7 linked regions of the Nothobranchius furzeri genome follow. The protein of the gene in region 1 interacts with the protein of each later gene in a biochemical or structural test. Links are inferred from orthologs where the notes say so. Each region holds a gene or a part of one and is shown in the gene's direction. Other genes may lie near its edges. The genes, in order: rps6ka1, arhgef11, Na(+)/H(+) exchange regulatory cofactor NHE-RF2, sntb1, magi3a, erbin and microtubule-associated serine/threonine-protein kinase 1.

Region 1 (4,242 bases):
TTAAAAATCGGTTTTTGCAGTGTGGAAATCTCAATTTCTAATTTTTTTTGTCATATTTATTGTGGCCACAGGAGGGCATAATGCCATTTAAATGTGTTCCTTTTGTGCTAATTTGTTTGTTTTTCCAAACTTTGCTCATAAGTCAGCCTAAACAATGAAGAAAAATGAAATACTTTCTTTAATAAAACACTGGTTAATTTAATATTATTATTACTTTTACTATTTATTTTAATCATCAGTATTACCACTCCACACACCGTCAGTGGGTGGCCTTGTCACATTAGAGTCCTAAACTGTTGCTTATATAAAGTCAACCACCAACACCCACATATATACCCAGCTGTTCACAAAAGTGACCACTAAGCATGTGAGCAATAACACGGGACGAGTTACATTTTTTAACATTTCAATTTAATTCAAATGGTTCCGGCAACATTAGGGATGCACGATATATTGGCATCAATCGGTATTGGCCGATGTTAGTCCTGTTTTAACATACAAGTATCAGTCTGATATGCAAAACTGGGCCGCAATCAGCAACCAATATTTTTTCCATCTCGTTTTCGTGTGTGTGTGTGTGTGTGTGTGTGTGTGTGTGTGTGTGTGTGTGTGTGTGTGTGTGTGTGTGTGTGTGTGTGTGTGTGTGTGTGTGTGTGTGTGTGTGTGTGTGTGTGTGTGTGTGTGTGTGTGTGTGTGTGTGTGTGTGTGTGTGTGTGTGTGTGTATGTAAAACCTTAGTTAAAATGGATTGGATGGAGAGTAAGTGATGCCACTAGTTCCCATAAATTACCTCAGTCCTCTAAAACACTACAGATCAGTAGAGCTCCTTCAGTTTTGATCAGAACTCTGGAATAAGAAGTGTGGCTCATCAATGGGTTAATAGTTATTTAGACAATAGGAAACAGTTTGTTCAAATAAATGATGCCAGATCTGAATTGAAAGATATTCATTATGGAGTGCCACAAGGGTCGGTCCTCGGACCTAAACTGTTCATATTGTTTATTAATGACCTTATAAATATATCTCATCTACTTGGTCCAGTTTTATTCAGGATTAAATATACATGAAGTAACTCAAGTAATAAACAGTGAACTGATTAAAGTAAAAAAAATGGTTTCATATAAATAGACGGTCATTGAACCTGAACAAAACAAACTATACTGTTTAACAACAAAAGAAACTGTGATGTATCTTTAACGATAGATGGAATGGAAATTCAAAGAGTAAAAGAAACCAAATTTCTTGGAGTCATGTTTGATGAGTGTCTCACTTGGAAATCACATAAGTTATATAAAGGGGAAAGTTGCCAAAGCCATAGCGGTATTATATAGAGTCACATTTCTGCTAAATTGGTCTGTGTTATTAATGTTGTATCACTCGCTGATTGAAACATATTTAATTTATTGTCTGGATATTTGGGGAGCCACATGCAAAACTTTTACTCAACCTTTGTTTATTTTACAAAAAAGAGCATTGAGGATCATTAATAACAGTAACTACAGAGATCACTCAAATTCATTATTCATTAGATATTAAATACTGAAATTTCCTGACTTGGTAGAGTGGAAAATATTGCAAATAATGTACAGAGCGAATACGAGTAATTTACCAACTAATATTCAGAAAATGTTTCATAGGAGAGTAAGTGGGTACATATTAAAAGGGACTGATGTCTTTAAAAAAACTAAATTCAGAACCAAAATGAAGGAATGTGATATTTCTGTAAATGGTGTAAGATTGTGGAATGCCCTTAACAGAGATATTAAAGATTCAAACTCACTTGCTATATTCAAAAAATGCATAAAATCAAATGTATTAAGCAATTGTGAAAAGGTAAATTAAAATGTCAATGATTATATATATAAAAAGTAGAAAGGGACTGAGGCTGTATTGTGTGTTTTACAGATAATTTTCTTTTGTAAAAAGGGGCAGAAATGATAAGATTTTTCTTCTATCTGCTCCTTTTCATTCAAATGTTTTTTTTTCATTATGTTTATGTATTGCATTTGCTTGTGTTTATTTCATAAATTTTGAATGAAATAGAGTAAAAAAAAAACAACCTCTTGTTATTGTTTACATTCAGGGTGCGATGGCCGCCACCTACTCCGCCCTGAAGAACTCCCAACCCCCTCCAGAGCTCAAGCCCATCGAGAGCTCCTTCCTCGCCCAGAGGCGTGTCAAGAAGCTGCCGTCCACCTCCCTGTAGAGACTCAACAGCTGATCAGGTCACCGGGGGCTCACCAGCACCACGCGGCTTTGCTTTGGGACGTTGCGTCCAGCCTCCAAATGAAAAGAATATATGTATAAAAAAAAAAGATTTAAAAAACAGCCAAGGAACACAAACAGTGGTCCTGCACTTGCTATCTGTGTGTGGGCCGATGTGATCCGAGCAGCAAGACGAGGGGGGAGGGGGGATGTCTTACTGCCGTGTGGATGAGCGACATGTGAGCGAGTGATTGCATGAACCTGCAACTGTTTTTGATGGTGACATGAACGTTTTCTCTCTGGATCGTTGCTGTAGTTGATCCTCGCTGCACGCTTGTCCGTCTGCCTGTTCCGTTGTCCGTCTGTCTGATTTTCTTTTTTTTGTTTGTTTTTTTTGGGGGGGTTTTTGCAGAGTTGATGAGCTTTATGTTTCTAAATGCGCTGCCAAATCAATCTGCACTCACACACACACACACACACACACACACACACACACACACACACACACACACACACACACACTCACACACACACACACACACACACACACACACAAACTGTTCAGCTGCTGTTCAATGTTTTTCAAAGAGCATAATTTCATAAAAATATAAAACCTCTTTCCACAAACGCCTTGTTGGTTTTGGTACAACCAAACCAGATGAGGTGGATTCTGGGGAGGAAGAAAAATACACGAGTATTTGCTTTTACAGTGCGATTGTGTGCGAGTGTGTGAGTTTGTGTGTGTCAGTTGCATGACTTGCAGTTTATGTTTGTTGTCTTGCGGGATGCTGCAGAGCCGTGCATGGTCTGGTGACGTAATGATGTCATGTGGCTTCCTCGTTTTTTCTGCTCTCCCTTTTCTCAGCTTCGTAAATCTGTTTGCAAACATTTGAAATGTTGACTATTTTTATGACTACAAAACTAGTAAAGTAGGTGGCTTTCCGTGAAAGAAAACCTGCCCGAGGAACAATGTGGCATGTTGCAGTTTGCTAAATGACTTTTTTTTCTGAAAGATGTATTTTCAAGGCTGTTTCTTGTGTTTTCAGCTTTTGTTGTTTGGTTTTTCATCTCAAGAAAGTGGGGATTTAAAATGGTAAAAGACACGCTGAGCTGATCTGTGGACTTGTTGCCTTGCAGGTCTCTTCTTCTTCCCTCATTGTGGAATTTCCCTTTTTATGCAATTCCTGAGTTTGGAATTCACCTTTTTTTTTTCTACACTCGACGGACCTTGATTTTGAGATGTTCTGAAGAAGTGTGTCTCAAACCGATTCCCACAGATGGGTAGGTCCTGCTTTCAGCTCGGTGCCTACATGTGAGGAAGCATGTCTGGAGTAGAAAACGGGATTGAGAATGAAAGAAGGAAGGACCTGTAAGGCTGAATAATCTGTTAGCCAGCTTTCTTACCTCTAAAGGGATCAAAGTTCTGATATATTTCTTGTTTGGTGGTCTTTTGACTGATGGTATTATGGTAAGATGTTATTGTATGATAAAGATGAAGATTTTTATATCTTATGATATTAAAGATTGAGTTGCTATGATCAAGTGTCCTGTTGTTTTCTTATTCCTATAAAAGAAAAAGCTCATAATTCACCTAGAACAGGCTAAATCCCTTTAGCGGCACTTAGTGTGGACATTTTGGTGTCGCTGCAGGCAAATCCGAAGAGAAGTGGATGTTTAAACTTTCTTTTCTGCTCAGTTTATTGTCCCTCAGATTAAAAAAAATCTGATTTTTGCAATCGTGCACAAAGAGACAGGAAACAATGATACAAATAAATCATCAGTTTTATTTTATTCAAATTTTTCATAATTTTGCGACTATTTTTAATCGTTTAATCACATCAGTTCTCTTTTTTATATTTACTACGCTGAAAATCCTCAGATGAATAATCAATAAATTGTAAAGCAGTTTGCTTTACAAAATTAATGTTTTCCTAATGTCTCCATAAAGAAACACTAGAGGGAGACAAAGTGCAAATGTCTGTATGCTCAAACTCAGGCTCTTATGTTTGTAAATCCAGGATCCTGTTAGGACATCTTT
Region 2 (3,500 bases), on another chromosome or scaffold:
GTCCCAGCACCGAGAAGGAGAAGTGGCTCCCTTTCCTAAAACCTAAAAAGGTGAGAAGGGAAACTGGAGAACGTGTTTTCAGATCAGTTTAGTCTCGGAAACGAGCGTTTTCTCTTTTAACCTGTTAGTATGATTAAATATTTCCCTTTTTGTAGCTTTTTTAAATGACCCAGCTCGTTGGGCCATAACAAAAAATGATGTAAGAGTTAATCAAATGTAATTCATTCAACCAAAAAACCATAATCAACCTGTAAAAACGCTGTTACAGTGGGGAGGTGCAAACTAAAGGTTGGTTTATGCTTGACGCGTCCGCGAGGTTCGCACGGCTCCGCGCGGAAAAGTTGCGTCATTTTAACAACCACGCCCCTCCAACGCGCCTCCGCACGGCCCAGAATTTCCGCAACGCGCACCTCGGAAAATTTCTAACCACGCGGACGGTCGGACGCAGAAAAACATGGCGGACCGGCAAGAACTAGTATGGCAGAGGTTGGTAAATACAGACATTTGTATGATTCAGCTCTCAGAGATCACGGTGATCAACATGTTGTTAATAATTCTTGGAGAGAAATAGCTCGCACTGTCGGAAAAGACGAGGACGCTGTTAAAAATGCTGAAATGCCATGTTGTAAACAACAGTCATTTTTACTTCTACTATGGTGTAGTGTTGGATGCATGCCGTAGAGCTCCATGCTGCCCCCTACAGTTTGGGAGAATATTGGCTCACCGCAGAGACGAGCCGCATGAACCATAAACGCTGCAAGTTGTGAAGCGCGTTCCAGCCGCGAGCCGCATCACCGCGCGGAAAGTGAATGCGTCAAGCATAAACCAAGCTTAAATGTGGCAGCATACCTGTGGAGGAGCAGAGAGGAGGCTCAGGCTGCTGCAGCAGTCCCTCAGGTGTTGGAGGAAGAGCGTTCGGATTGGCCACAAAACATGGCACACTTTGAGTTTAAAAGGTTTTTAACTTCTCAGGAAGCTTCTCTGAACACGTCTGGGTGGTTCCTGGGGGGGTAGATCACCTAGATCTCCACAGTCTCCTGGTTTTTGTTTCCCAAGCACACAGTGCTGAACACTCAGCACACTTTCACTTCAGAACCTCAACCTTTATTTAGTTGGTTTGAACAAAAAGATGGTGAAGGTCACGGCAGGAACTGCGTTTATGGCGAGCGTTCAGTAAAGCGCTCCGTTAGGCTGTAATGTGTTTATGAGCCAAAAACAAAGATCATCTTAGTAAATCTGGCTTTCTAAAGTCAGCACGACCAGGCTTCCCTCAGCTAACCCAAAGACTAGGTGGGTTTGTCGTGTGAGCTGCTTTTATTTGATGTTTCAAGCAAAAACATTCACAACCTGTGTATTCATGCTGATAACGGCGAGGAGCTGCAGTCTCCACCTAAACACTAACAGGCCCAGACCAATTTGAGCTTCCTCCTTCATAATTACGCCCAATTAAAATGTTATCGATCATTTAATATAGTTGCATTTAGTTATTAGGTCAGTTTGTTTCTGATCAACCAGCCAGTGTGTATTAAACCTGGGATTGTTTGACTTTTCCTTCGTCTCCACAGCTGAGCAGCAACAAGAAGGACAAGGATGGAGACGATCGAAGGAAGAATCCCATCCTGAAGTATATAGTGAAGCCCTGGGCCACGTCTCAGTCCAGTAAAATACACACACACCAATCTGAGCGGGAAATCAAAAACCTGCTTTTAAGGACTTGTGATGTAACCACTATGACATCACTGTTCTGTTTGGTTTCAATATTTTAACATTTTTTTATTTTTGTTGAGTTTTTTCATTCCTGGTTTGTTTCTGTTTGGTTTTGTAGCGTTCCACGTCCCGTTGTCGCCCTCAGAAGGTACATGTTTGTCTGCTCTTTCATGTTTTTTGGGGCCGCTCAGAGGAAATAATTAATTGTTCAGTTTTAAGATTAAAGTGGAAACATCAATAAAAACGTCACACTGACAAAATTAACACACAAAACTCATAGTTCAGTATAAAATTTTTCAGAATTAAGTGAAAATGTTGAGAAAAATATTTATTTTTATTTTCTCAAATCTATGAAAAAATGCATTTTTTTTCCTTCTGAGTTGCCCTAAAGCCTTCATTTTTTCCTTGAGTTAAACTTTTATCCTTTAACAAACATTCATAACATCAAGTTATTTAACTCATTCCCTGCCAGCGTTTTCACTGTTTTTTTAAGAGTCACAGAACGTTGCGTGCTAGGATGATGTCAATGCCAAAACTACCAAAACAAAGAAGAGACTCACGTCTTACATCAGGAAGAGTCCGCGTGTTTCGAGCGTTATCCGTTCTTTCATAATCCGTTGTTGAATTGTGATCGGCGGAAGCTTTTCCAGTTCGTGCCTCACTTTTTTTACAGCAGCGGCCCAAAACGATCTCCTAACACATGGATGTTCTGCTTCCTGATCATGTGACGTACACGGTTGAAGATCGGCTTCAGGGCTGAGATGTTTGTTCTCACGGTGCGGGGGCTCGTCCGACGCCCACACAGTAAAAACATGCCAATGACGACTTTAGTCATTGATTCACTTGGACACTTTCTGACTTCATTCACTCATTCATTCACTTGTTCATTCGTTTGCTCACTCACTCATTCACTCGCTCACTTCATTGATTCTTTTGCTCACTCGTTCATTCGCTCACTCACACACTTCATTGATTCACTCGCTTGCTTACTCGCTTCATTCATTCGCTCACTCACTCACTTCATTCATTCGCTCACTCTCACTCACCTCATTCATTCACTCGCTTCATTCATTCACTCGCTTGCTCACTCACTCACCTCATTCATTCACTTGTCCGTTCATTCACTCAATCATTCACTCACTCAACTCACTCACTCACTCCATCATCTATCTTCTAAACCACATAATCCTGCGTGTCATCGTAGGGACATCAGAGACTATCAGTCATGGAATGGCTAGGGGGTGAAGTCACCGGTTTTCATACAGGTTTAATAATGTCTAATTCGACCTAAAAGGTGAAGCTAACATCAGGTAGACTTACCATTTACAAAGCCTCAGTCACACACAAGACCGGTCACGCTTCAGTCACGTGCAACACCGGTCACGCGCAACGCCGGTCGCCGGTCACGCGCAACACCCGTCAAATGCTTCAGTCACGCGCAACACCGGTTCAGTCACACGCTTCAGTCACACACAACACCGGTCACACGCTTCAGTCACACACAACACCGGTCACACGTTTCAGTCACACACAACACCGGTCACGCACTTCAGTCACACACAACACCGGTCACGCACTTCAGTCACACACAACACCGGTCACACGCTTCAGTCACACACAACACCGGTCACGCACTTCAGTCACACACAACACCGGTCACGCACTTCAGTCACACACAACACCGGTCACACGCTTCAGTCACACACAACACCGGTCACGCACTTCAGTCACACACAACACCGGTCACACGCTTCAGTCACACACAACACCGGTCACACACTTCAGTCACACAC
Region 3 (4,040 bases), on another chromosome or scaffold:
TTGGAGAAACACAGACCACAGGTGTGAATGGAGAATGTTTATCTGTACTGATGAGGATTTTATATTTTCATCTGAATTTTCATGTAAAGTAAAAATTTCTGCAGTTTCAAAGTTCAAATGGTGTTTAAAAGCCTTTAGATGAACTGCTAGAACAATGATGAGATCTGAGTTGTTTTAATACAATAGAAACCCACTTTTAATTTACCCTCCTGGAACTAATCAGTAACTTATTTGCCTAGACACAATCAAATTTTACTATTCTCTGTTTACCTGCCTGCCATTCTAACCAAACTACAACCTTCACCAGAGCTGGGGAGTAAGCAGCTCCAGTCAAAAGATCTCTGCCAGATACTGGGAGATCTTGATGGATCAGCCGAAGTTCCCCAGTCATACTGCTGTCACCTCCCTCAGACCAGACGCTGTTCTTGTGTCTGAGGCCAGTAAGCAAGTTTTGCTGTTGGACTTAACAATTCCCCGGGAAGAGCCCTGGAGAAAGCTCTCCAAGTATGGAGTGGACTGGTTGGAGAGTGAGAGTGAGGTGCTTCCCAGTGGAAGCTGGATGCAGGGGTTAGATCCCTGCTTGATCACTGAGTTGCCTTGGCGTAGAGGATAAGCATGAGACACGAGCCATCAGCAGCACCACCACTGAAGCAGTCGAGTCGAGGCAGTGGAGGACGAACCACTGATGTAGATTGTTCTTAATATTTTTCAGAGTTCCAATTTAAAAGATCTGAAGGATCATTTTGGTGATTTCAAAATCATCTTTCCTGCTTTCAAACTTGTAAATATGAAGTTTAGTAATTATTGTAACTTTGGAAATCATAATTACAAGATCAAAGTCATAACTATGACTAAAAATAACACCATAATTACAACCTTGACAGTTATTAAAAATTATATTTATGACTTTAAAAGTCAGATTTCTAAGACAAAAGGTTGCAAATGTGATTAAAAGTTATAAATCTGAGATGTTACCATAACTGTACCCTAATCGAGCCAATATACGTTTCCCGTTATTGTGAGATGTATCATTTTGAAGTTAAAAGTCACCACATTGCCTGATATTAGGCACCAACAATGAAATAGACAGGAAATATTTTAAAGAACTTTTTTTTTAAATTTATTTAAAAGTTGATCATTTATCATAACTAACCCTGATCACTGACTGTTTCCTGCCGCCGGGGGGCATCAGTGCATCACTTACACTTTCTATTTGTTTCTCTTCCAGAGGAAGGTGGTGCTGTTGCTCACCAGCCGCTCATCGTGCGCAAAGATCGGCGCTGAAGCTGCAGAAGGATGTGCTCTCCGGACGAATGTTTTGGATAAACGCAGGGAGTTTGACCAGTAACCATTTTCACTTTTACAGTCTGCAGAGCGCACCGGTCCGAAGGTTCTGGAGCCCCCGGTGGTTTGGGTCCGTTTTGGAGCAGCGTGCCTCAGAGCCGGACACACGGTCCAGTTGACTGGAGTTCGTAGCTTTTAGGGAATTTAAACTTTTCCGTTGTTGGATCTGGAGTTGTGTTTGTGATGTGAGGGCGCGCACGAGGCCAGTCGGGATGCACGCTGGAAGTTTAGCCCCGCACCCGTTGTCCTGAACTCCCACCTCTTCTTTTCGCGCATTTTCACCGCATTTTTACTCTACTCGGGTCTGCAGGAAGGTTCGATGCGAGAAGAAGAGCAAATGGCCAACGAGCGGAAACCGCGGCTGTGTGTGATGAATAAAGGGGAGAACGGGTATGGCTTTCACCTGCACGGAGAGAAGGGGAAGAGCGGACAGTTCATCCGCCAAGTGGAGCCCAACTCCCCCGCAGAGGCGTCGGGGCTGCGCGCCGGGGACCGGGTGGTCGCCGTGAACGGCGTCAACGTGGAGAAGGAGACACACCACCAGGCGAGTGGATGTGTGCTTTCATATTTATGATTAGAGTCGAGTTACATGTCTGCCTGCGAGGGTGCATCAACAGGTCACACACACACACACACACACACACACACACACACACACACACACACACACACACACACACACACACACACACACACACACACACACACAAAGTGCGCAAAACCCGCCCCCGCCACACTAATCTAATCTGTCGCATTGAATTTACAGACTTTCAGCATATTGGCATATTGTTGAGGCTGATAAACACTCAGACGCTTCAGCTGCAGACTTTGTTCTGTCTGAGCCCAAAATGATCTGCAACTATCAAATATCTCTGCCCCAAACCAAGTTAAACTGTCTTATCTGTCAGGTCACAGAGCAGCAGGAGGTTTTTACTTTTGTTTCATCACTCTTCTGATGGGTAATGGTTCTTATAGATTTGCATTTATCTGTGTAATTCATTTTAAATTCAGTTGAGTTAAAAATCTGATTCAGTTTTCGACTTCATTCCTCTCATCCACTAACTGTCATTGAGGCCTGACCTCAAATGTTGTGTTTTCTCACAACTATGGTGGTCTGATGGTGGGAAACAGTAACAGATGAGAGAGAGAGGGGGGTGGGGCGTGGGGGTCAACTATTTAATCCACTAAATTTTGGCATATGATTGGACAAACCTTTGATTGGTTTGATATAATTTTTCTCCACAAGCATATACTCAACATGAGTTTATGCACGTTTGTTTTTTGTTGGAATTTGGGACACTGATTTTGTTTTAGAGTGCCGAAACCGATTTCTGACTCTTGTAACAGCTCAGACTTGCTGATGCTGGTTTGGCCCATTCAGATTCATCTAACTAACATTAAAGAGACAATGTGTAGTTTTACCATTAATTTCTGGAAACATCCATCAAAATGTAGTTGAAAATGAATGAAATGAAGCCCAGTTGTTGAACAATATTGGCAGCGTCGTAACATCTAACCATAAAAATCTGGTCTAAAATAAATGGGAGCGGGTCTAAGTCTCTGGGCGACGCCATATTAGATGCTATGTTTCCTTCTACGGGTGCCCATGAGGACAAAATGCATCTACTGATTTGTAACAAACCGTTACAAAACTTTTGTCATTGTTAAATATGTTGTTTTACACGTTTACCTCTTCAATTGTTGCCAGTGATGAAAGAGAGTCTGATGTGCTTATTTTGCTAAAGTTTGCACTCCCCAGGGCTTTTAGACCCTAATGGGCTTCCGTTGGTAAGGTCTTATTCCAACACAAAAATACAGCTTTCTTACAACGATTTAGGTATCTACTGCCCCCTATGGCCAGAAAAAATACACACTGTCACTTTAAAGCGTTCATTCCGGAGCTAAAACCTTGCACATGTAACATCAGTTACTAACATCGATGAGCAGTTGTCTGGTGAGTTCACAGACCAGGAAAAATGTCAGATGTTTTATTGTTGACGCCGCTTACAGATCAATATAAAAAAATCAGAATTCCGAGTTTCTGATCACCAGACAATCTAGCTCCTCTCTTAATTATTTTTTCGTCTAAACTGTTGTGTTTTAGCCTGTTGTTGCTATACCCATGAACATCTTTAGTCTATTATTTTAAATCCTCCCAGATTCATGAGCTAATGGCTGGGACTATTTAAACCAAAACGTTTCACTGCCAACTTAAAACACCTTTAATCTCCCAAATCTCACAACAACAGCTAATGTGAACGTTTATTTAGAAACCTTTACATCACTGTTAGTGGTTACGTCAGCTGGAACTGTCTGACTCCTGCTGGATTTGAGCCCTAAAAGCACCATAAAGAGCTGAAGTTTGATCATGTTGCAGGTTTGTTTTGTCACCTCATACTTAAACAAGGGCCTGACAGCTGGGACATTTAAAACAACAACCATAATCTAGTTCTTACATTGTTAAAGGTGCAGCATGTAAGAATATAGTGAGAATTTTACAGTGAGAAAATCCCAAAAGAGTTTAATGTTTCTGTCATTTTAGAAGGAAGGTTATAGTGAAATATATTAGCTGGATGCTGGGATTGTCAGTTTTTCTCCTCTCAAAACAAAGGAAGGAGGGACTACTGTTTACCATCAGTGAGTGTGGGGTTGCCGTGTCTCCTGCGAGTAATACTGCAGCGCTACAATTGTAATGT
Region 4 (4,132 bases), on another chromosome or scaffold:
ATTAAAGTAAAAATAACTCTCCTGCTCCTCATCAAGACAAAACATGTCTTTTGCACAACTCAGTAATTGTAAGTAGCTCACGGTGAAACAACACTTCCTGTGTTTTATTAGGAGTTGTTCAAAGTTATTGAATAGGACACACTCAAAGAAAGATAAAAAATAAAATAGCTATACGTTACAGCCAGTTTATCCATTCAGCTTTGAGGGCCTAAAACAGTCTTGGAGGCCGCTCAATCCTCTGCCTGAAGGAGAAGGCGCGGGTGGGGTCTGTCGTCATGGTCTCTGCTCTGGGTTTGCATCTGCTGCTTTATTCAGTATTCATTATTTAAATAATTTAATCTGTGAAAAACCAGTAAGGACATAAAAAGCAGATTATTTTAAAGATCAAATGTTTTTGATTTACTGTTCAACGTCACCTGATGATAGATAGATAGATAGATAGATAGATAGATAGATAGATAGATAGATAGATAGATAGATAGATAGATAGATAGATAGATAGATAGATAGATAGATAGATAGATAGATAGATGATAGATAGATAGATAGATAGATAGATGACTGTTAAAACAAACATCACCAGTAGGTGTCGCTGTCGCGCCGGTTTAGATCAGTACCAGTGGAAGTTTGCAGATGTTTTAATTAGCCTAATTGACAGCTGCTGTTTGGAGATGATGGAGAACCGTTCCCCTCTTCCTCCACCTTGTTTGTTTGTCGTTTCTACATTTGCTTCTATTTGTTTCTCTTATTTTCTCTCTGATCTACAGAACCAGTAAGACTCGGACTGCGCCCTCGGGGTCTTGGGCTGACATAACCGCTGGGAACAGCTGGAAAAATAAAAAAATAATCATTAGAGATGCGGAGAAACTCCGCAGAGGGTGGGCCTTTAAATGAAAGCCTAAAATTAAACCGCGTTCTCTCCCCTCAATTGCATTCCTGAGTGCGCGTAAGCACGACGTAAGCGCAGTCCTACAGGACAACTAGTTATGATTTCAAAGTTTTTCAAAAGATGTTGAAGGTACAGTTTTATTTCCTTGAATTTTGTCCAAATTACGCACAAAAACACTCGAACCCCATGACTGAAACGGTGTATTGATTTTATTTAATAACATTAATGCTAATGACAAAAGCGTGAAACCGTTTCATTCTGTTCTGAAAAATTATCAGAGCTGCATACGGTTTTGTTTTTATGACTTTAGCACGTGCTTGCGTCATAGCTCAGAAAGTTATGTCTGATGCAAATGCCCATTTTTTTCTTTTTGGTTCATGGGCTGGTCGGTTGTAAGCGTGGAGAGGAAAACTCCACCCAGCAGCTTTAGGACCTCCGGGCAGGCGGAGCGGAGCGGGGGCCAGCCTGCGCTGGCTGATCGAGTCCCGCAGAAAACTTCTGACGAGCAAAGTCCATGCAGCTTGAGCCGGAACGCGTGTGTGTTTGTGTGAGAGAGAACGCGTGTGATTTTACAGAAATGCTCCAAAGATGGCGGTGGTAGCAGCCGCAGGCGTCTCGAGAGGCTCCGGGGCGCACAGAAGTGGATTAGTGGAGGTTTTGGTGCGGGAGCACTGGCACAAAGTTTTGGTAAACTTGAGCGAGGAGGCGCTGACGCTGAGCTGCGAGGATGGCGAGAATGTCAACTCAAACGGGCTCACCAACGGATCGTACCTGGATAACAGCAACACCAACTCCAACAATGGCCCCCAAGCTGTGCGCACCGCTTTCACGGACCTCCCGGAGCGAGTGCCCGAGGCGATCGCCAACAGAAAGCGCTGCGTCAAGGTGACCAAGCAGGAAGTCGGAGGGCTCGGCATCAGCATTAAAGGAGGGAAGGAGAACAAGATGCCCATTCTCATCAGTAAGATATTCAAGGGGCTCGCAGCGGACCAGACCCAGGCTCTGTACGTGGGGGACGCGATCCTGTCAGTGAACGGGATGAACCTGCGGGACGCCACGCACGATGAGGCGGTGCAGGTGCTGAAACGTGCGGGGAAGGAGGTGACACTGGAAGGTAGGCAGCAGTTGGGACACATGCACGTAGAGGGAAGGTGACCAGAGCCCCGGAAGTCCAAACTGTTTTTATATCATACAAACGCTCGTAAACCGAAGCCAACAGGTGTGCGTGGGTTTCGCGTATTTATTTCTGAGAATTGTTGCTGTGATCATTTAATTCAGATGTCCCTGATTAGCTGCAGGACTCCTGGACACCTCAGCCTCTGCGTGTTGGGATGCTTGGTGCAACTTCAGGAGACGCAAAACCAGGTTTTGTTGTTTTGCCTTCATGATTATTGCTGTGGTTAAAAAAAATCACCTTAATGAAGGAAAACAAGGCAGCAGGACAAGATCGAAAGCCTGAAAATGAACCGTGTTTTCTCCTGTAGATAAAAGGCAGCTGATTAATTCGTTTGTCTCTTCAAATGAAGTTGAAGAAGAGCTCAGCTTTTGGTTCCAGACATTTTTTCTGTTGCAGATAAAAACTTACTGGCAGAAAATAGCAGGTGGGATTTTATTAGATAAATAATAGGAATCTTTTGAGATCCAACTTGGATCTTGTTCTTCCATTTGCCTTAAAGAGTTCGATAACTTGTGACTTCCTGAACATTCTGTTTGGAGAAATAACTGATGAGCTACTACACTGCCTGGGCCAAAAACAAGTCACCACCTGGATTTAACTAAGCAAACAGGTAGGGTCCTCCTATTATTAATTACTGCATGTCAAAAAGTGTTTTAACCTCAAATGGTGCAATGAGTCACTTCTCATTCGTTAAACAAACAAGTGGAAAGACACAACTGGTGGTTGTGGAAAAGATGTTAGTCTGTGTGGGAAGGGTCGGGTCGTTGGCGTCAAGCAGAGATGACATCTAATGAGATGCAAAAAAAACTCAATCTGAACTGTCCAACACTTTATTAAAAACTGGTCTGATGAGTCCAGATGGGCCCTGTTCCAGAGTGATGGTGCATCAGGGTAAGAAGAGAGGCAGATGAAGTGATGCACCCATCATGCCTAGTGCCTACTCTACAAGCCTGCGGGGGCAGTGCTATGATCTGGGCTTGCTGCAGGTGGTCAGGTCTAGACTCCGCAACAGGATGTGCTCCAAGAACGAAGTCAGCTGACTACCTGAATATGCGGAATGACCAGGTTATTCCATCTTCCCTGATGGCACGGGCATATTCCAAGACGACAATGCCAGGATTCATCGGGCTCAAGAGCGGTTCAGGGAGCATGAGACGTCATTTTCACACATGGATCGGCCACCACAGAGTCCAGACCTTAACCCCATTGAGAATTTTTGGGATGTGCTGCAGAAGGCTTTGTGCAGCAGTCAGACTACCATCATCAGTGCAAGATGTTGGTGAGACATTAGTTCAACCCTGGATCAAAACAACTGGTGATGTTGCAGAAGCTTATCGAAACAGCGCCACAGCGAATGCGTGTCGTAATCTGTCATTGCACGCCAGGGCAGCTGTGGCTACATTGTAGCTCATCCCCAGCAGCGTGTGAATGTGGGATTCAATGAAAGAATGACTGATTATGTTGTAAAGTGCCTTGGGGGGTTCTAGGACTCTAGAAGGCGCTATATCAAATACAGGCCATTTTTCTTTTTGGGTGGTGACTTTTTTATTTGGCTGGGCGGTTTATGTTTATTTATTTGGCAGACGCTTTCATCCAAAGCGACACACAATTTATAACTTACAGGGCATGTTGTGATCCGTGGGGGAAAACGGAGTACCCGGAGGAAACCCACGCATGCATGGGGAGAACACGCAACTCCACGCAGAAAGGCCACAGCCGAGTTTCGAACCTGCAACCTTCTTGCTACGAGGCAACAATGCTAACAACTGCGCCACCACGCAGTTCTTATGAACAAAAAAGTGTATTAATACAATGTTTAAACAAACATCTCTGTATTTCCACATGGGTTCATGCAACATTATATTATAAACATTAAAGCACTGACATGCATCCCATTGGTATTTACATGGATGTTATTACAAGTGTGAACAGCAGCTGCATGCAGCACTTCTGGTGCATCTGGGAGTCAAGTACAGCAGGAAGTTCCTCATATTTCAGCCAAAACAACTAATGGGGAATCCACCATGGCATGAAACAAACATGAATGAACTCGTTTAACATTTTTG
Region 5 (3,500 bases), on another chromosome or scaffold:
TTCCAAGCGTCGGCTGCGTTAGCTGCCGTCTGACTGTGGCTGCATTAGCATTAGCAGCCTTCTTTTCATTGTCTGCGGTGAGCCTCGAAAACTCACCGTGCTCCGCCAAGTGTTTAGTCTTTAAATGTCGGATCAAATTCATCGTGTTGAATTTTTTTGAAGTGCTTCCTCCGCGGGGTATGTTTTCGTTGCAAGTGTTGCAAGACGCAAACTTAATATCACTCTCGCACACCGTAAAGAAGTTCCGCACGGCAGACTTGTTTGTCTTCGCGGGTTTGCCGCCACGCGCATGCGCACTAAGCGGGGAGAAGCGGAAGGGTGAACTACCAGCCGGGAAGAGTAAGCGCCAGTGCCAGAGCGGAAATGAAAGGCAGCGATCGGCGATCACAGATCACACACTTTTGCAGGAAAATCGGCCGATAATTATCTGCGGCCGATCAATCGGAGCACCCCTAGTTTTAATCACAAACACCCTCACCAGCCACGCCGCCTGCGGGAACCAGGGCTTGTCTGAGCCGCTGTTGTTTTTCTAGCATCTCAAACTACTTTGAACATTCTCCTGACTTCTGACCTGAAGAGGACGTTTTCATTCACTGGGGATTTTCTCTTTTTCAGACAATTCTTTGTAAAGCCCACAGGTGGTTGTAGGTCCAAATCCTGGTAGACCCAACCATTTATGTGGAGTGTTTGTGAAAGCTCTTTGTTCTTCTTTTAGGTGATGTCATAGTGGACATAAACAGGGCGTGTGTGTTGGGGAAGACTCACGCTGATGCGGTGCAGATGTTCCAGTCCATTCCAATCAACCAATACGTAGACCTGGTCCTGTGCCGGGGTTACCCTCTTCCTGACGACTCCAGCAGCAGCGAGGAAGTGTCGGGGAGCCTCATTGCCTCGAAGGATGCCTCCTCTTCTCCGTCCACTTCCACACCACAGAACGTCCCAGATGGAGGAACCCTGTCCCGGCACACAGCCTCAGTTCCACCCATGACTAATGGAGGAGGACGCCTTCCACATCCCCAGCTGCAGCAACAGAACCTTCCTCTCACCCTAAACCAGGAAGGGCCAGACTCCACTCTGTTGCAGCCGGAGCTGGTGAGCGTACCATTGGTCAAAGGCCCGGGAGGTTTTGGCTTTGCCATTGCCGACTGTCCCCTGGGTCAGAAGGTGAAGATGATCTTGGATGCGCAGTGGTGCCGCGGCTTGTTGAAGGGCGATGTCATCAAGGAGATCAACCGGCAGAACGTTCAAACGTTGAGCCACTCCCAGGTGGTGGACATCCTCAAAGACCTGCCGGTGGGCAGCGAGGTCAACGTGCTGGTGCTTAGAGGAGGTGAGTCCACGGGAAGGAGGGGTCATGCTGCAAACTTTGTTTTTTTTTATCAACCAGAGTTTTATTCTGACACCAAACGGGCTCTAGTCTAAAGATGAAGTGGAAGTGTGTCCCTCACACAGATTTGCATCACCTGTTGCTTGCACAGCACTTAAAACAACAACAACAACAAAGCAATGGGCTGACAGTCCAGTCTGTATTTGAAATGAATTTCTTCAGCAGTGAGGCAGCAGCATGATTCGCCCTTTGTCTAAGATCTGCCGAGTCTAGAGGAGGTCAGAATGACGGAATCGTGTAAATGTTTTCATTTATAAATGACAGGATGGTTTGTGTGCAGCACATTGTGCTTGAATACATGCACACACACACACACACACACTCCTTGTTAAATAAAGCAATTTCACGCTCTAGTCCATGCCAGCTCTGCATCATCTACCTCCCAAAACAGGAAGTAAGCAAAGTGCAGTCACAAGTGCTGGGAAGAAGAGGGGGGGGGGGGGGGGGGGGGGATGACGGTTTTACTGATTCACTCACTGCCTTAAGAGAAGGAGGGAAGGGAAGGCATGGAGAGAGCAGGAGCGTGGTGGGTAATCATCACCACTCGCTTTCTTGCTTCGTGCTTTCACAGATTTGAAGGGCTCGTTCTTTTTTCTTTGCCTTTGCTGCAGTGCAGTAGCCTAGATTCAAGAGATCAACGTTGCACCCACACATCAGATGCACTGAGCCGGGTTCTGCTGTGCGCTCTGGGGGCCTTATCTATCTGTGTGTGTGTGTGTGTGTGTGTGTGTGTGTGTGTGTGTGTGTGTGTGTGTGTGTGTGTGTGTGTGTGTGTGTGTGTGTGTGTGTGTGTGTGTGTGTGTGTGTGTGTGTGTGTGTGTGTGTGTGTGTGTGTGTGTGTGTGTGTGTGTGTGTGTGTGTGTGTTCTGTTTAGTAACTGTAGCGTTTGTAGCTCCCAGAAAACATTTCTATTCTTTGCAACAACATTCTCGTTTGATTAGAAACTGAAATGCAGATGTGCAGGCAGATGGAGAATTTATAAACTTGAACTAGCTTGTAGAACAACGGCACATCAGCGGCAGGAAATCCAAATTAGTCGAAGCATAAAATACTACAAACAACATAAAATGAGCTGAAAATGGAAGAGAGCAGGAAAACGGGCGTGAAGACCAGCGGAGGAAAGGACCTGGTGAGATGTGAGCAAAACTAGTCACATAGTCAAAAATGACCTGTTTTCTTAAGCACTGTAAGACTTTTCGAGGTTAAGGAGAAGAGGTGGAGATGTGCATGAGTGCTGAAGTACAGACCTGCAACGGCTGAATAAAACTTGACGTGCAGGAAATGTTCAAACAAACCAGTAAACGGCTCCTTGAATCTTAAAGTAATGAAATAGTCTTCATTAGTATTTTTAATTACACAATAACCAGTTGTGTCTGTGCTGTTTTTACTGTTTCGGGAAGGGACATTCTCATTCTTCAGGATGCTGCCATGCTTCCTATGCTAAAGGAGCCACTGAAGGATGATGAAGCGTATTAGAGGATAAACACATGTTTCTGTATCAAACTTCTAAAACACTTTAGTCTGTTGGAGATTGCTTTCTGATCAGACTGGATAAATATTCCAAAGTGACCAAAGCGCTCTTAAAACAGGTCAAGTCTCCAAAATCTTTACATTAGTTCACCCAAGTATATATTTGTTGCAAACTTAAGAGTTTTGCAGAGTTTCGTGACATCATTTCACGTTAGCTTTTGTTTAAGTTCAGCAGCAACACGTTTTGGTCGCGGCAGGTTCAGACTAGTCGTCCGTCTCATCAGCTCTGATAGGAACAGACCCACCTGGGTAAGATGGTAATGAGTGATGACGTGAAGCTGCTCAAGTCAAAGGTTCGGATCGTTTGGAGAACAGCTCCTGGTACAACATCTGTTTTAAACATAAGTAAGAAATTCAAATGAGGAGAAACTAAGAACCAAAGTAAACCCAAAAGTTTGCATGAATCTAAAACTTGAGGATTTGTATCTGCAGCAAGTAAGTGTCCACTTTAACCTAAAACACACGTTTCCCCTGGCTGTAGGTCTACCTCCTTCCATCCTGTAACACAGGCCTACGATTCCTGATACTTGAGTCTACTGCCCCCTGCTGATTGAACAGATTCTGTCACTATTGATTTACCCTT
Region 6 (3,500 bases), on another chromosome or scaffold:
ATCTTCAGCAATTGTTTTTCAACTTTATTTTGATTTCTGGAAATCATCTGGAGGCCCCCTTTGTCGCTCTGGGTGACCTTAAGTGGGGACCCCTCGACCCCAACTTTGGAAACCGCACATCGATGGGATGCACTGAATGTACCTGAAGAAAATCAGCTAAACAAAATAAATCTAGAAGGAGGATTTTAGAGTAAAATGTTAAACAATATTACATCATCATTACGTTAATACCAACCCATCATTTTTGGATTATCTCACATTGTATTAAAAGCCTGACTGCACCAAATGAATTAAAAAAAATGTAAAAAGGTCAGATTTTCATAGTTTTATTTTGTTTTTTTAGCTATGTGAACATCGGAGAAAAACGATTCAAGATTTATTTTATGTGCTTATTCAGAAGTTAAAACAAGGATAATAAAATCAGCTGAGTTGCCGCTCATTGTGGTCGATATGAGGACCGATTACTAGTCGGCGTTTTACTGTATCGATGTCGGTTCTAATGAACCTAATTAGCTGCTCTAGTGGACCCTTCTCTTTAGTGGTTAAACGGTAATAACTGATCAATACCAGCCTGGGCAGCTGTTGTTGTTGTCCTCTCTAATCCGGTCTCCTGGTTTTCCGGTTTCTAGGCTCCTTAAAGAAACTGAGCACGCTGAAAGTGGATGAAAACCAGCTGATGTATTTACCAGACTCCATTGGAGGGTGAGTGTTGGAGCTTCTAAACTCCTAAAAATCTGTGGATTGTCGTGCGTTTGTCATTACGCATCCGCTGGTCAAAGAAATAAAAGGTCTGTGGATTAATCCTGTGAGGTATGATGAGATGATTCCCAGATTCAGGACTGAGACTAAACCTTTTTCTCAGGCTGATCATGTGCACAGCAGGCAGGTAAATCCAGCTGCTTCAAGTCACAGATTACCATCCATCCATCCATCGTGATTTTTATTTCTGTTGTAATTTTCACCCATGAGAGAAAAAAACTGCAGAGTGGTGCTTTTGTTTCCAAACAGCATCAGTTATCACTTATGTCACAGCATACATCTCCTTCTGAACTTTGGCTTAGATTATGCGACAAAGCCTATGATTTAGCTTAATCCCATGCAATGATTTTAGCCGAAGTGAGCTCTTTTTTTCTCTTTTATTTTTAGCTGATTATTATTTTTATGTTTTATGTGGTTTGTGGGAGTTGAACCCTGTTCTCTGAAATCGCAGGACAAAGTAATTCTCCTGTAATTTATCTAGTTTATTCCCATTTTACCTGTTAGTCCCTCTCCAGCCGGGATTAAGACCCCGCTGAGCTCCTCACCACCGTTAAGATTTATGCTTGATTGCATCAAATGGTGAAAACCTCCTTCAGTGTGACGGGAATCATGATGCTGCTACACTTACAGTATTCCTTCTCATTTCTGCATCCCTAAAATAACTTTTTGTGACTTCACGATGATCTAGTCACCCATGACTGCTTGTGTGTATTAGTTTTTATTAGAGTGAGCATTATTAAAGGGATATTTTGCAACCTTTTCTTATTTTAAAATCCTTTTCTCGAGCCAGTACGTGCTAAAATATGATCCTTTACAGGGTTAATGGAAGGCCACCCAGCCACCCTGTGGCCTGAATATTCCACTTGCATCGTCAGACTACTGGTCCACTCTGTTGGGACTTTTAGCTGACATACCTGGCACTGCACTCTGGTTCCAGAACGTTTCCTGCATGTTTTAGATTGTGAACACAGCTGATTTGTTTAATTTAGTGATGAATCACACCTGTAGACACTAATGAAGGCTGGGAGATGCTTCAGCTGTTAGATTAAGGTGTATAAAAGACAAGCACACAGCAAGGAGATGGGTTTTGGCTTCGGTTCTACAAACGGACACTAGGGGATGCCATAAACAAGCAAAACATCCTAGTTTCTGTTTATTCATCGTGTTCGCTGTGTTTTTTAGTGTGTAATTGTAAAAAGAGAAGGTTGATTGTTTGACTCTTTCAGACTGACGTCAATCGAAGAGCTGGACTTCAGCTTCAATGAAATCGAAGCCTTGCCGTCCTCCATCGGTCAGTGCACCGGCATTCGTACTTTTGCTGCAGATCACAACTTCCTCACCCAGCTTCCCCCGGAGGTGAGCCTGTATATCAGCGTTTGTCAGTCTACTCGGCCGTTGCTGCATCTCGTGACTCAACAGTCCTCCGTGTGTTTCCCTCACAGCTGGGTAAGTGGAAGAATGCCACCGTGCTGTTTCTGCATTCCAACAAGCTGGAGACTCTGCCTGAGGAGATGGGAGACATGCAGAGGCTGAAAGTTATCAATCTGAGCAACAACAAGTGAGTCGGGCCTCACTGGGGTTAAAGGGCACCTTAGATACTAAAAAACAATTAATGCAAGGATGACGTTTAGAAAGTTTAAAGATATTTTCACTACATGACTAATCAGCAGATTGGATAACCTGAGATGTTTTACAGTAGCTGTTCTCAAAGCCCCTCTAGGAGCTTTGCCAGTGATGCTTGACTGTATAAACTATTAAAAGGGGTTAGTGAGCAGGTTGGAAGAATCTGAAGTTTAATTATAAAATCCAGATTAAAAGATTACATCCTGACAAGAAATGTAATATTTTGGTTTGAAAAGTCGAAGCCTGCTTTGCCAGCATCAGAAATGCCAGATGTGCTAAAGCATTTAGTCCACAGCAGCGAAGGGCTGAACGAGAAACCGAATACCCGATTTTGGGGTCAGAAATGGCAATTTCAATTCAATTCATGATTGTCTTCACAAAAAGCTTCAGTGGAATATTCACAATGTACAATAAAATTTATAGAGATGACAGGAAATGACATCATACCATTGCACCATTAACTCATTCACTGCCAGCCGTTTCCTGAGCAGAAAAGCCGTTCGCTGCCAGCGTTTTTCAGCGTTTGTTGTTTTTTTTAAGAGTGACAGAACGTTGCACGCTAGGATGATGTCAAAGCCAAAACTCACAAAACAAAGCAAAGACTCACCTCTTACATCAGGAAGAATCAGCACGTTTCGAGCTTTATCCGTTCTTTCATAATCCATTGTAGAATTGTGATCGGCAGAAGCTTTTCCGGTTCGCGCCTCACTTTTTTTACAGCAGCGACCCAAAACGATCTCCTAACACGTGGATTTTCTGCTTCCTGATCACGTGGCATGTGACGTACGCGGATGAAGATCGGCTTTAGAGCTGAGATGTTTGTTCTTACGGTGCGGGGGCTCGTTCCGATGCCCACACAGTAAACACCTGTCGTTGGCAGTGAATGAGTTAAAAGCTATTACTCTAATGCAAGGAGGAAGTCCAAAGCTACGATTTGGACATTTTTCTGGTTCTCCTGAATGTTTATTCCCACAAAAACACTCCCAACAACAAACACCTACACTTTTTACCAGTGGTTTGTTTTGAACGAGCAGAAGTTGTGCTGTCAAGTCTGATTAGTTATTACGATCAATTCCTTTCTGCTGTTAAAGCAAACGGGCGAATCAGCCTCTTGGTTC
Region 7 (3,983 bases), on another chromosome or scaffold:
TCATTAGGACTCCATCCTCTCATCACATCACCTCCATCCCGCTACGCTGCACTGGCTCCCCATTAAACAGAGAATTTAAAATTCTGCTCATCACTTTCAAAGCTCTTCATAACCTGACTCCATACTACATATCCATTCTCATTCACATCACCACTCCTGTTCGCTCACTTCGCTCCTCTTCTGCTCCTCATCTCTCGGCTCCCCGCACTCGCCTCGTCACCATGGGGAGTGGAGCATTCAGCCGCTCTGCTCCCCACCTCTGGAATCCTCTTCCCCCTGATCTTTGCACCACTCCCTCCCTCCAACTTTTTAATCAAAACTCAAAACCCACCTCTTCAGACAAGCGTTTACCACATAGTTTTAATTTTTTACATCTCAGTGTTTTTATATATTTTTGTAATTTGTAATCTTGTTTAATTTTTCCCATGACTGTAACGTGTCCCTGGGTGTCAAGTAAGGCACTTTAAAATCAAATCTATTGTTATTATTAGTATTATTAATTTCATAATATTTATTATTAATATTATTAATGATGATGATGATGATGATGATAATAATAATAATAATAATAATAATAATAATAATAATAAATGTCATTTTCTGTCCCTTCTGCCCACACTTTAGAATGTGTTGCTACCAAGGACGTAATTTTCACTTTAGAAGTGGGGGGGGGACACGGGGGGGGGGGGGGGGTATCTTTACAGTATGTGCTAATGGGAAACCGGCTTCAACACAAACGGTTGTTTTCTGCTTGGTCCTAGAGCTCAACTAGTGTCAATTTAATATAGCGTAATATTGTTTTTGGATGGTAAAAAGTGCAGGGGTCAAAACTTGACTTTGGAAAAAGTGGGGGGGACATGTCCCCCCTGTCCCCCCCCCCCAAAAAAAATTACGTCCATGGTTGCTACCAAAAGTCATAGCACACTAATTAAACAGCATTTTTTAAAATTAAAGTTATGTTTTTCTTCTGTTCAAAGACATAAATGTGATAAACTCACGAGCACCTTTAACCATTAAACTGCCACATTTGCATTTTTTAAACGTGGGACACTGATGATCAGTTTTCTCTTGAGGCTAACGACTTCATTGTTTAGTTTTAGTGCTTAAAGCTGCTCACTTGATCAGGACCAGATTTTTATTCTGAACTATAAAAGGTTTAAATGAATGAATGAATGAATGAAACTTGCTGCTAGCTGCTCGGTTACTGATGAGATGATCAGTGGCGTGTTGATCCACTACTGAACGAGTCAACACGACAGAAGCTCTCAGGATATTAATACACCACGTGTCCTCGCTCTCTGCAGATCCAGTGGAGGAGTAGGGTGTTGCAGCAGGGAGGGGGCTGGATGACGTTTTTACTCCGCTCAGATGAGGAGAATCAGGGCTGCAGGAGGAGGAGGAGGAGGAGGAGCGAGAGGGAATCCCAGCCAAGCTCAGAAACATCGCTGCTGCAGCTGCATCAAAACAACTGTTGGAGGTGTTTGTGGAAGGGAGGAGGAGCTGAGCCGCTCCCCCGCCGCCGCGCGTCCCTTTGTGATCAGCAGCGGCTGAAAGCGTCTGCTCGCCTCGCGCACTGAGTGGCGCTGGCGCGTGCAGGCCTCGGGTTGCTCAGCTGGACCGAGCGAGGCGCGCGGACCTCCGTCTGAACGCGAAGGCTGCTCCGGGAGGGATGCTGGAGCTCACAGAGGAGTGTCAGCAGAGGAGGAGCAGGTCGCTAGAGAAGCTGCTGGAAGCCTTCAGGCGTGGGAACGTTTGACGTTTATGTGGAGCACCTCGACGTGACTCCGATCTCCTCCTGAGTGCGCGCGACTCTTTGGCTGCTGTTGTTGTTCTGCAGTTCTGGTCGCGCCGAGCTCAGACACGAACTAACGGTCAAATGGTTGTTCTGGTGGGAGGGAGCCCCCAGTAGGAGACCACACCATGGAGGACTCTGGGATAATAAGGCGCAGGAGGCTGCAGGTGAGATGTTCTCTAACGTGACCTCTTCTCTGCATGCTGATTGGTAAACAAAGGCACATTTTAGCTGCGTGACTTCATATTGGCATCCATCTACTGCACAGTCATCACCACATTTTGCTGTCTTCACTTAGTTTTTGACCTTTAAGTCAAGTGAAACTTTATTTTTGCTAAATGAACCAAATTTTGGGTTAGAAAAACAAACCTGACTCATTATGCCTGTTTTAAATTTTATTCCAAGGCAAAAGGCTGACTATAATATTTTTGCCTGGTTCCTAACCCAATTCAAGATGGCCGCCACATCAGGTAATTGCTATAGACCAAGTCAACCATTATCAGTGTTGGGCAAAACCCCTTATAGTTTAAAACTGTAACCAACCAACCATCCATCCATTTTCTTCCGCTTATCCGGAGTCGGGTTACGGAGGCAGTAGCCTAAGCCGAGAGGCCCAGACGTCCCTCGCCCCAGCCACTTAGGCCAGCTTCTCTGGGGAAATCCAAAGGCGTTCCCTGGCCAGCAGAGAGACATAGTCCCTCCAGCGTGTCCTGGGTCTTCCTTTAGGTCTCCTCCTGGTTGGACGTGCCTGGAAAACCTCACCAGGGGGGCATCCTAACCAGATGCCCAAGCCACCTCAGCTGGCTCCTCTCGATGTGGAGGAGCAGCGGATCTACTCCGAGCCCCTCCCGGATGGCTGAGCTAACTCACCCTGTCTCTAAGGGGGAAAACTGTTACTACTGTCTCAAATATGTGACACTACAAGTACACTAGTTACACTACTTTAGGCTACACTTTAGGCAAGACTTATATTCGAGTCCCTTTTGGCAAAATGTCTTACTTTAAAACTGCAGGTTCAATCCCGCTCAGTCTGTCGCTGTCATTGTGTCCATGAGCAAGACATTTCACCCTCCGGCTTGCCGCTGGTGGTCGGAGGGACCGGTGGCTCCTGTGTACAGCAGCCTGGCTTCTGTCAGTATGTTCCAGGGCAGCTGTGGCCACAATGTAGTTTATCACCACCAGTGTGTGTGTGTGGGTGGGTGGGAGGGGTGTGTTGTGAAGCACCTTGGGGGGTTCTATGACTCTAAAAGTTGCTACATCAAATGCAGGCCAGTTACCATTTAATTCAATGCAGATTTATGTCACGTTGAGGGGATGGTAGGACCCAAAGTGCAGATTACTCAGACGACAAGAGGCAGGAGATGAAGTAAAGTAAATTATCCTTTTATTGCAGGATGAAACAAACAAAAGTAAATCCAAAAAGGCAGCGAGCCAAAATTCCAAAAGTCCTGGAACACAGGACACCAAAAGCTCTCTTAGAGCACCACACAATGGACAGACACAACACAGAGACAAGACAGGGCTTATATAGACAGGAAGGAGCAATAAAGGAAACAAGCAGCAGGTGTGTGGAGTGAGGGCTGGAGGGAGAGCAGGTGACTACAATAAGCTAAATGGGAACAGAACCAGAGGAGGGCAGATAACCCTAAAACTAAACCTAAAGACTGATAAAGGACTCACACACACACAATAACACACATACACTCACACACACAAACACTGAGCTGGGGAGTGGACACGCGCACACACACACACTAACACACACACATGCACTCACACACACACATACACACACTATGCTGGGGAATAAAGAGGCTAGAGCTACAACTGGAGGGGCTGGGGACGACTGAATGAACGCCGGACCTGAGGGGAATGATCAGAAGGGCAACAAACAGAAGAAACATAAATGAGACGCAGACAAAGGACACACGAGGGCGCTATGAGACACAAAAGGGGAATCTAGAGACAAATGGAGGGCACAAGGAGACACAAGAGGGGAGACGCAGACACAGACCATGACAATTTACTTAGCATTCAAGCTAGGTTGGTGCGCTAAGACGACTGTTCTGGGAACTGGGGTGCATCCATCCACAAGTATTTTTCACAATTCAAAGTAGGGCTGCACGATATTAGGAAAACCTGCGATATTCGATAACAGTGCTTAATATTGCGATATCGTATTACTCGCGAT

The links.
Region 2: the proteins of rps6ka1 (region 1) and arhgef11 interact in a test that uses a peptide from one of them, tested with the Homo sapiens proteins (2 studies listed by BioGRID and IntAct). The link is inferred for Nothobranchius furzeri from reciprocal best matches to the Homo sapiens genes RPS6KA1 and ARHGEF11.
Region 3: the proteins of rps6ka1 (region 1) and Na(+)/H(+) exchange regulatory cofactor NHE-RF2 interact in a test that uses a peptide from one of them, tested with the Homo sapiens proteins (2 studies listed by BioGRID and IntAct). The link is inferred for Nothobranchius furzeri from reciprocal best matches to the Homo sapiens genes RPS6KA1 and NHERF2.
Region 4: the proteins of rps6ka1 (region 1) and sntb1 interact in a test that uses a peptide from one of them, tested with the Homo sapiens proteins (2 studies listed by BioGRID and IntAct, with this or other methods). The link is inferred for Nothobranchius furzeri from reciprocal best matches to the Homo sapiens genes RPS6KA1 and SNTB1.
Region 5: the proteins of rps6ka1 (region 1) and magi3a interact in a test that uses a peptide from one of them, tested with the Homo sapiens proteins (2 studies listed by BioGRID and IntAct). The link is inferred for Nothobranchius furzeri from reciprocal best matches to the Homo sapiens genes RPS6KA1 and MAGI3.
Region 6: the proteins of rps6ka1 (region 1) and erbin interact in a test that uses a peptide from one of them, tested with the Homo sapiens proteins (2 studies listed by BioGRID and IntAct). The link is inferred for Nothobranchius furzeri from reciprocal best matches to the Homo sapiens genes RPS6KA1 and ERBIN.
Region 7: the proteins of rps6ka1 (region 1) and microtubule-associated serine/threonine-protein kinase 1 interact in a test that uses a peptide from one of them, tested with the Homo sapiens proteins (2 studies listed by BioGRID and IntAct, with this or other methods). The link is inferred for Nothobranchius furzeri from reciprocal best matches to the Homo sapiens genes RPS6KA1 and MAST1.

What each region holds. Positions count from the first base shown.
Region 1 is NC_091758.1:28,116,427-28,120,668, reverse strand, and holds the end of rps6ka1 (ribosomal protein S6 kinase alpha-1), read left to right. Parts: intron 1-2,082; coding exon 2,083-2,205; 3' UTR 2,206-2,224; exon of another isoform or gene 2,225-2,350; intron 2,351-3,341; 3' UTR 3,342-3,742; downstream 3,743-4,242. UniProt on the Homo sapiens protein: Serine/threonine-protein kinase that acts downstream of ERK (MAPK1/ERK2 and MAPK3/ERK1) signaling and mediates mitogenic and stress-induced activation of the transcription factors CREB1, ETV1/ER81 and NR4A1/NUR77, regulates translation through RPS6 and EIF4B phosphorylation, and mediates cellular proliferation, survival, and differentiation by modulating mTOR signaling and repressing pro-apoptotic function of BAD and DAPK1.
Region 2 is NC_091754.1:62,118,656-62,122,155, forward strand, and holds part of arhgef11 (rho guanine nucleotide exchange factor 11), read left to right. Parts: coding exon 1-50; intron 51-1,565; coding exon 1,566-1,659; intron 1,660-1,825; coding exon 1,826-1,855; intron 1,856-3,500. UniProt on the Homo sapiens protein: May play a role in the regulation of RhoA GTPase by guanine nucleotide-binding alpha-12 (GNA12) and alpha-13 (GNA13). Acts as guanine nucleotide exchange factor (GEF) for RhoA GTPase and may act as GTPase-activating protein (GAP) for GNA12 and GNA13.
Region 3 is NC_091752.1:53,773,839-53,777,878, reverse strand, and holds the start of Na(+)/H(+) exchange regulatory cofactor NHE-RF2, read left to right. Parts: upstream 1-1,240; 5' UTR 1,241-1,663; coding exon 1,664-1,888; intron 1,889-4,040.
Region 4 is NC_091745.1:41,784,301-41,788,432, reverse strand, and holds the start of sntb1 (beta-1-syntrophin), read left to right. Parts: upstream 1-1,332; 5' UTR 1,333-1,477; coding exon 1,478-2,003; intron 2,004-4,132. UniProt on the Homo sapiens protein: Adapter protein that binds to and probably organizes the subcellular localization of a variety of membrane proteins. May link various receptors to the actin cytoskeleton and the dystrophin glycoprotein complex.
Region 5 is NC_091755.1:38,365,285-38,368,784, reverse strand, and holds part of magi3a (membrane-associated guanylate kinase, WW and PDZ domain-containing protein 3a), read left to right. Parts: intron 1-715; coding exon 716-1,330; intron 1,331-3,500.
Region 6 is NC_091746.1:65,237,735-65,241,234, reverse strand, and holds part of erbin (erbin), read left to right. Parts: intron 1-629; coding exon 630-702; intron 703-1,985; coding exon 1,986-2,115; intron 2,116-2,201; coding exon 2,202-2,317; intron 2,318-3,500. UniProt on the Homo sapiens protein: Acts as an adapter for the receptor ERBB2, in epithelia. By binding the unphosphorylated 'Tyr-1248' of receptor ERBB2, it may contribute to stabilize this unphosphorylated state.
Region 7 is NC_091752.1:70,159,192-70,163,174, reverse strand, and holds the start of microtubule-associated serine/threonine-protein kinase 1, read left to right. Parts: upstream 1-1,183; 5' UTR 1,184-1,920; coding exon 1,921-1,959; intron 1,960-3,983. UniProt on the Homo sapiens protein: Microtubule-associated protein essential for correct brain development. Appears to link the dystrophin/utrophin network with microtubule filaments via the syntrophins. Phosphorylation of DMD or UTRN may modulate their affinities for associated proteins.